Danio rerio: one gene and its partner. The protein of the gene in region 1 interacts with the protein of each later gene in a biochemical or structural test. Links are inferred from orthologs where the notes say so. Each region holds a gene or a part of one and is shown in the gene's direction. Other genes may lie near its edges.

Region 1 (3,659 bases):
CACACCTCCTTTTCAGACCGGCACACCCATTAGCCCACAAAGTGGCACGAATGGATTTGCTATTTAAACAATGTGGTCGAAAACATGAAAATTAGAGTTGCACTGATCTGAAAATAGCAACAGATCGCACCAAATACGTCTTGCACCTTATTGCACCGGGTGTATTATAAGACCCATAGTGTGGAACAATGGAATTTAGTACAGAGTTTGTTGTCAGGTAGGAACCCCACTTCATGTCGTACATCAATCAGGCAGTGAAGATCATTGAATTTTAAACAAACCAGTTCTTCTTTCTTTCATGACAGTTCACCGGAAGCGATTGAGCAGGCATATTCAAAATGAATAGTCCTCTTACATATACCTCATTATAACATTTAAACCATTTACATCTGTCTGATTATAGTACAACATCTTGTCTGTCATTAGATTACCTCATCAGCCGGGCTGAGGCCACGCTGGGCTCTGTAGAGAAGGTGCAGGCAGGCCACTCTGAGTATGTGAAGAGTATGAAAGGTATGTTCTGTCTCTTTTTCGCTTGATGATGTTTCCATATAATTTTTAATGCTTGTACTTTATCTCATTTCATGATTAACTTGTTTTTGATTCAGATGCTGGGGGTCTGGTTAGGGCTCTTACTATGTTTTCTCATCTTGCTGCTGACACAATAATCAACGGAAGTGCGACGGCACACATGGCCCCTACTGACCATGCTGATCGTAAGAGCACACACCTTGTGAAAAACACTATTATATTATATTATATTATATTATATTATATTATATTATATTATATTATATTATATTATATTATATTATATTATATTATATTATATTATATTATATTATATTATATTATTTTGAATTATATTATTTTGAATTATATTATATTATATTATTTTATTTTATCTTATATTATTTTATCTTATATTACATTATATTTTATCATATTATATTTTATTATGTTATATTATTTTATTTTATATTATATTATTTTATCTTGAATTATTTTATATTATATTATATTATTTTATTTTATCTTATATTACATTATATTTTATTATGTTATATTATTTAATTTTATATTATATTACATTACTTAATATTATATTATATTATTTAATATTGTATTATATTATATTATTTGATATTGTATTATATTATATTATTTTATCTTATATTATATTTTATTATATTATATTTTATTATGTTATATTATTTAATTTTAGATTATATTACATTACTTAATATTATATTATATTATTTGATATTACATTATATTATATTATTTGATATTATTTGATATTATTTGATATTATATTATATTATATTATATTATATTATATTATATTATATTATATTATATTATATTATATTATATTATATATGCCAGTGTGTAGGGGTGCAATGAATCACAGTTGACCCATGTGGAACTAATAACACATATTTAAAACATCTAGATGAATCCTAAATTTAGTTTGAAACGCATGTCTGTCTACAGGTTTGACTGAGCAGTGTAAGAGTTGCGCCACCCAGAGTCTGCAGTATCTTAAGAGTCTTAAATCCAAAGCATCTCTAAGGGGGGCTGATCCCACCGCCATCCAAGCAGCGGTGCAGAAGATTCTTAGAATAGGAAAGGTAAGACACAAATAGTTTGGGTTATTTAAATGCTAATAATGCAATCATTCATTTACTCAAGGCTATTGCTGCTTGTATTTTACTTCCAGGATCTAAGGCCAAAAGGTTTAGATGTCGGCAAGGATGAGCTGGGAGATATGGTGGATAAAGAAATGGCTGCTACCTCTGCTGCTATTGAGGAGGCTGTTAGGAGAATAGATGTGAGTAGAAAAGTATTTATCACAGAAAATCTGTGCCTTCTAATGTTCCACTTGTTTCAAACCAGAGTTACTTTCTTTTTAACACATATATAATATATGAACAATATCACATGAGTAGCAGTATGCTATGGCTGTATATTGGCACTGGCGGGAGGCGTGCGTTGGTTTGAGGACACAGGCCGAGTGCCTTAGTGTCCCACAAGTGAGGTGGAACAGCCATATCACACTGCTACATGTGTGATATTGCATTTATAAAACAGTTCGACAGCAAAAGCGTGTATAAGAGTAGTCTTTTTGAAGAGTAGAAACTTTTCTCTCTGTTTAAAAGAAACAGTCTTTTTGTAAGAGGAACTACTTTCTTCCGCCATTCATTCACATCTGCAGCTGACATCAGAACAGCAGAAACTGTTTCTAATTCACCATCGTGACTTTAGAGCTAGTATTGATGAATGATTCTCTAGCGTAATGTCTAAAGTGATGACAAAACAGGTGATTTTGCTGACTTTTTAAGAGTATAAGACTGAACTGCATGAAATGCCATCAATCTACAGAGATATCCCAGTGTTTCTCTGTTGTGATCAGGAGTATCACAATAACTGACCCCAAAAAAGCCAAAGCAATGCAAACACTAGCAGATTACTGTTGTGTTCGCGATAAGGAAAAACACTAAACACATGCGGGCATTTCTTCCTTCTTTCTGTTTACTAAGAGACTCATTAGAAACAAACAGATGGCCAACCAAAAAGGTTATACAAAAAGTGTGCAACATAATACCCGAGTCCCATCTCACACTCAATACACTACAATTACTATGGTATAAAAACAGCCCTACAACATACAAAAGAGAGAGATCGACTTAGAATCTCTGTCACCCACCAATTTAATAATGTTTTGATCAGCTGTAGTTTGAAAATATGCAGATCTTTTCTCCTCTAGAGGCTTATTATGCGGCTGCCATCTTGTGGATGGACAACATCAACCGCCTTGCTCAATGACAGGCTGCCAATGCGGTGTATCTCGGAAATGATAAATATTTAAAATAGGCATTATTCTTATAAATAAACTGCATAGTTGCAATCTAAACAACCACATTCTCGACTTTAAAAAGTCTCAAAAGCACATTATGTTGTCCAACTGCAGCAATATTTGTCAAACTGTAGTGAGTTTATGGATCTGCTGTCACTATGTGGGCGGAGTAATACAGAAGGAGGAGGAGGCTATTTATATATTTAGATATACAGTACATGTAAATATGCAATTTACTAGTTAAAATGGGCTGGAAAATTCACCTGGAATGTGCTTGAAAGCTTGAAAGTTTCTTAAATTTGGCTTTGGAAAAGGTGTAAGAACCCTGAATATAATATAATAATTCTATATTATAATAATACTGTGTAATACTATATAATTTTGTAATAAATGTCGAAAATAAATGATCTATGAAAGTCTTTAACGGATTAATAACTGATGAACAAGCATTTCTGTTCACTTATTGTTTAGTTTTAAGGCTGTTTTAATTAAGCTTAATACATGGTTTTTGAAACATCCATATTTATTATATATATCTTGTATTGTTTTGATCTCAATTTTAATTGTTTGGCTCTATAGGAAATGATGAGTCAGACCAGAAAAGACGCAACTGGAGTTCAGCTGGAGGTGAATGAAAGGTTGGTGTTGTTGTTGTTGTTTTTTATTATTATTATTGTTAATTTTTTAATTGTTAAATGCAAATGTCACTCTTTTAATATCTGAATATAATAAATGAGTAATTAATTATTAATGTTACTATGTGTTATATATATATATATAAGTTATTAACATATAAGAG
Region 2 (4,369 bases), on another chromosome or scaffold:
CAGGCACAAGACGTCAACATGCCGTCAGATTGAAATTGTACCCTAACGTCGTGGAGACGCTGCATTTTGTTTGGAAATGAAAATCGGGTTTACATCAGAACTCAACATCAGCCTGATGTCAATGTCCAACGTCCAACCTCAAACCAACCAAATATCAACGTCTAATGATGTTACAGCTTGACGTTGTGTCGACGTTACCACTATGACGTCTATCAGACGTTGAATTTTGGTTGCCATAACTGATGAATAAATGTCAGTATTTGACGTCAATAGGATGTTGATTTAAGATGTCGGCTCTACATTGGATTTTGGTCACTTTCTAACAACCTAAAATCAACCAAATATCAACGTCATTTGATGTCATTATTGGACATGAAAATAATGTCCTTAGACGCTGGCTAGACATAGAATTTTGGTCACCTGACATTACAACCTAAATCAAACCTATTAACGTCTTATAACGTTGTGTGCCTGCTGGGCAATAAATATATGCACTACAGAATGTTACGTTTACACACATCCACGAATTACATGTAAATGCATCAACTTTTAACAGCGTAATACTCACTTTTAAAAGGGCTACTGTTTACTCCTACTTTGAGTAATATTTACGACAGGTACTTTTACTCTACTCACACTACATTTTTAGGCAAGTAATGGTACTTTTACTTAAGTATGCTTTTTTTTTACTTAAGTATTAGTTAAGTATGCTTTTTACATACTCTTTCCACCACTGGGTGCAACTTCCTTAATATGCACGATATTGCTTCGAAGATTATTACCTGTTATGCTGTGTTCACACCAGACGCTGAATGCAAATTTGACCTTATTTATATAGCACATTTAAATTCAACTTCAGTTGGCTTAAGTGCTATACAGAGTTAAAAAAGAGTCATGAAAAACATTAATAATACAGATTAAGCAAAGCAAAACAATTAATAAGTAAAAATCCTTATGCATTCATTTTCCTTCGGTCCCTTAATTTATTAGGGGTCGCCACAGCGGAATGAACCGCCAACGTATCCAGCATATGCTTATTATGCAGAGAATGCCCTTCCAGCTGCAACCCATTACTGGAAAAACACCCATACACACTCATTCACACACACACTCATACACTATACGGCCAGTTTAGTTAATCAATTCCCCAATAGTGCATGTGTTTAGACTGTGGGGGAAGCTGGAGCACTCAGAGGAGACCTAAGGCAACATGTGGAGAACATGCAAACTCCACACAGAAATGCCAACTGGCCCAGCCAGGACTCAAACCAGCGACCTTCTTCCTATGAAGCCACAGTGCTAACCACTAAACCACCATGTCACCCTTAATAAATTATTTGAAATTAAAAGCACATGGGAAAATATGTGAAAGTTTGATTAAAAAGATAAGTACAGATTGCTTTTCAACACTCTTCAGAATATCTTGCTTTATGCGCAACAGAATAAAAGTTAATTTTGTGTGAACTGTCCCTTTAAATCCAACTCTGCTGCACTACACACTCTGTCCGGCAGATGGGGACAAAACGCCACAAATCATCACCTAACTATGCGCTCAATATTGATATTACAGATTTTTGTTCTAGCACTCCCTACTAACGTTTGAGCTGTGCGTCATTCAACCGCTGTCAGTAAAAAAGTGAAATAAATACTTTAAATAAGTCTACAACGTTCAGACCAGTCTAAGTTCACCCTTTATCAGCTAATCGACTTGTGAACTGGCTGAAGAAGAAAACAGCTGGAGTGTTTTAGCGTAGCTTTTTTACGGAAGCCGGTGTTACTTTATCAAACATGGCTGACGACTTCGGTTTTTCCGCCTTCGACAACGGAGTTCATACAGAAGAAGATCCCGCCGCCGCCTTTCTGGCCCAGCAGGAGAATGAAATCGCGGTGATTGAGAACGACAGCACTGGGTTCAGTTTACCGGAGGACGGAGGAGCGGCGCCCGCAGACACCTACACCATGTCCGGCGGTGAGCCAGCGCGAGTCCCGGCGGCCGCAAACACACACCCGTGCTCACGTATTACCGCTTTATATTGTGTATAAAGTATAGTACAGAGTGCCTGTTATGTATAAGTAGCAGTAGTGTAATGTACCATGGTATTTTTGGAGAACCAGGTACGTAAATGTGTAATAAATGAGTATCAATCACTTCTTAAAATGTGAGTTACCATAGTATTGTAAAAAAACACAGTATTTTAGTTTTAAATAACTTTTTCCCATGGTATATTTTCAAAAAGTATATATTATATTATATTATTTTATATTATATTGAAATACTATGGTATCACCACTGAATACTGCCACTTTACCATAGTACTAGTAACTTACAGCAGTACTTTCAGTAACTATTTTGTGACTTTGTTTAATATAAATATTACAAATTATGCACAACTAATAATATAAATCATCATCGTTATTACTCGGTACTTAAATGCACACAAAAACTATAACACAGATTAGGCTACTTGCGATAAAGTAGCGGTAACGTTACTGTAACATACCATGGTATTTTTGCAGAACCAAATACATAAATGAGTAATAATGAGTATAAATCACTTCTTATAATGTTAGTTACCATGGTATTGTAAAAAGAATAGTGTTTTTGTTTATAATAAATTATTTTTCCATGGTATTTTTAGAATAAGTATATTATATTATAATATATTCTATTATAATACTATGGTATTACCACTGATTATTGCAACTTTACCATAGTACTAGTAACTGCAGTACTTACTTTCAGTAACTTTATTTTGTGTCCTTGTTTAATATTAATCTCACAAATTATGTGTAACTGATAATATGAATCACCATTGTTATTACTGAGTACTTAAATGCACACAAAAAGTATAACAGTGTGCTTTCGTACAAGTAGCAGTAGTGTAATGTACCATGTTTTTTTTTTTTTGAAGAACCAGGTACATTAATGTGTAATAAATGAGTAAAAATCACTTACTAAAATGTGTATATCATGGTATTTGACAATTCCTTGCAAAAAATATAGATACTTCATTGAAAGGATTTTTTTAATGAATATTCTATTCTATTATATTGAAATACTATGGTATCACCACCAGATACCGCCACTTTACCATAGTACTAGAACAACAGTACTTTCAGTTTCACTCGTTTACAGCTCTAATTAGTGCATATTATAAGGTATAATACAGTGTCTGTTCCGTATATGTAGCAGTACTGTTATGTACCAGGTGCATGAATGTGTAATAAATGAAGTTCAAATCACTTCTTAGTGTTCATGGTATTGACAATGATTAGTAAAAAGAATCGATACAGTATTTTTGGTTAAAATAACTTTTTCCTATGGTATTTTATCTAAAAAGTATATTATATTATATTAAAAATCTATGATATCACTACTGTATACAGCCACTTTCCCATAGTACTAGTAACTTACAGCAGTACTTTCAGTACCTTTATTTTGTCACAGAAACGCCAACTGACCCAGCCGAGGCTCGAACCAGCGAACTTCTCGCTGTGAGGCGACAGCACTACCTACTGCGCCACTGCGTCACCATTAAAACTTTTTTTCAGAAAAAAGGAAACATTTAATTTAAAATAAATAAAGAAAATAAATAAACTCTAAAAAAGTTAGCAGCCCTAATAAAATAAAAAAAATTAATGAAATTAAATATTATCACTCATCCTCTTCTAAATAAGAGTCGCATTGCTAAATATAGAAAATTGCAAAAAATGACATTTGTACTTGCATAAAAATAAAGGAGCAAAATAAATAACACAAAACTTAAAATAGCAAAAACAAAATCAAACCTAATATCTTCAAAACACTAAATAACAGAATTTGTAAAAAATAAATAACTAAATAAATAAAGTGCAGATTTATGCTTTAACTAAACACTTAAAACATGCAAGTAAAAAAAAATAAACATTTAAAACTTTTTTAATGCAAATCCACTTAGATCCACTTGTCTTGTAAACAAAGCAAGTATTTCATATATACATATATATTGACTAGAGGGCTGCATGGTGGTGCTGTGGGTAGCATGATCGCCTCACAGCAAGAAGGTCGCTGGTTCGAGCCTCGGCTGGGTCAGTTGACATTTTGGGTCAGTTTGCATGTTCTCCCAGTGTTGCCGTGGGTTTCCTCCGGGTGCTCCGGTTTCCCCCACAGTCCAAACACACTATAGGTGCATTGGATAAACTAAATTGTCCGTAGTGTATGTATGTGATTGAGTGTGTGTGGATGTTTTCCAGTGATGGGATGCAGCTGGAAGGGCATCCACTGCATAAAACATATGCTGGATAAGTTGGCGGTTCATTCCGCTGTGGCGACCCCTGATTAATAAAGGGAGTAAGCCAGAAAGAAAATGAATGAATGAATGAAAATTGA

What was found. The genes of interacting proteins can lie anywhere in the genome.
Region 2: the proteins of hip1rb (region 1) and cltb form a complex in vitro, tested with the Homo sapiens proteins (2 studies listed by BioGRID). The link is inferred for Danio rerio from reciprocal best matches to the Homo sapiens genes HIP1R and CLTB.

What each region holds. Positions count from the first base shown.
Region 1 is NC_133180.1:72,287,747-72,291,405, reverse strand, and holds part of hip1rb (huntingtin interacting protein 1 related b), read left to right. Parts: intron 1-426; coding exon 427-513; intron 514-608; coding exon 609-716; intron 717-1,497; coding exon 1,498-1,634; intron 1,635-1,723; coding exon 1,724-1,834; intron 1,835-3,439; coding exon 3,440-3,498; intron 3,499-3,659. UniProt on the Homo sapiens protein: Component of clathrin-coated pits and vesicles, that may link the endocytic machinery to the actin cytoskeleton. Binds 3-phosphoinositides (via ENTH domain).
Region 2 is NC_133189.1:56,170,712-56,175,080, reverse strand, and holds the start of cltb (clathrin light chain B), read left to right. Parts: upstream 1-1,566; 5' UTR 1,567-1,788; coding exon 1,789-1,969; intron 1,970-4,369. UniProt on the Homo sapiens protein: Clathrin is the major protein of the polyhedral coat of coated pits and vesicles.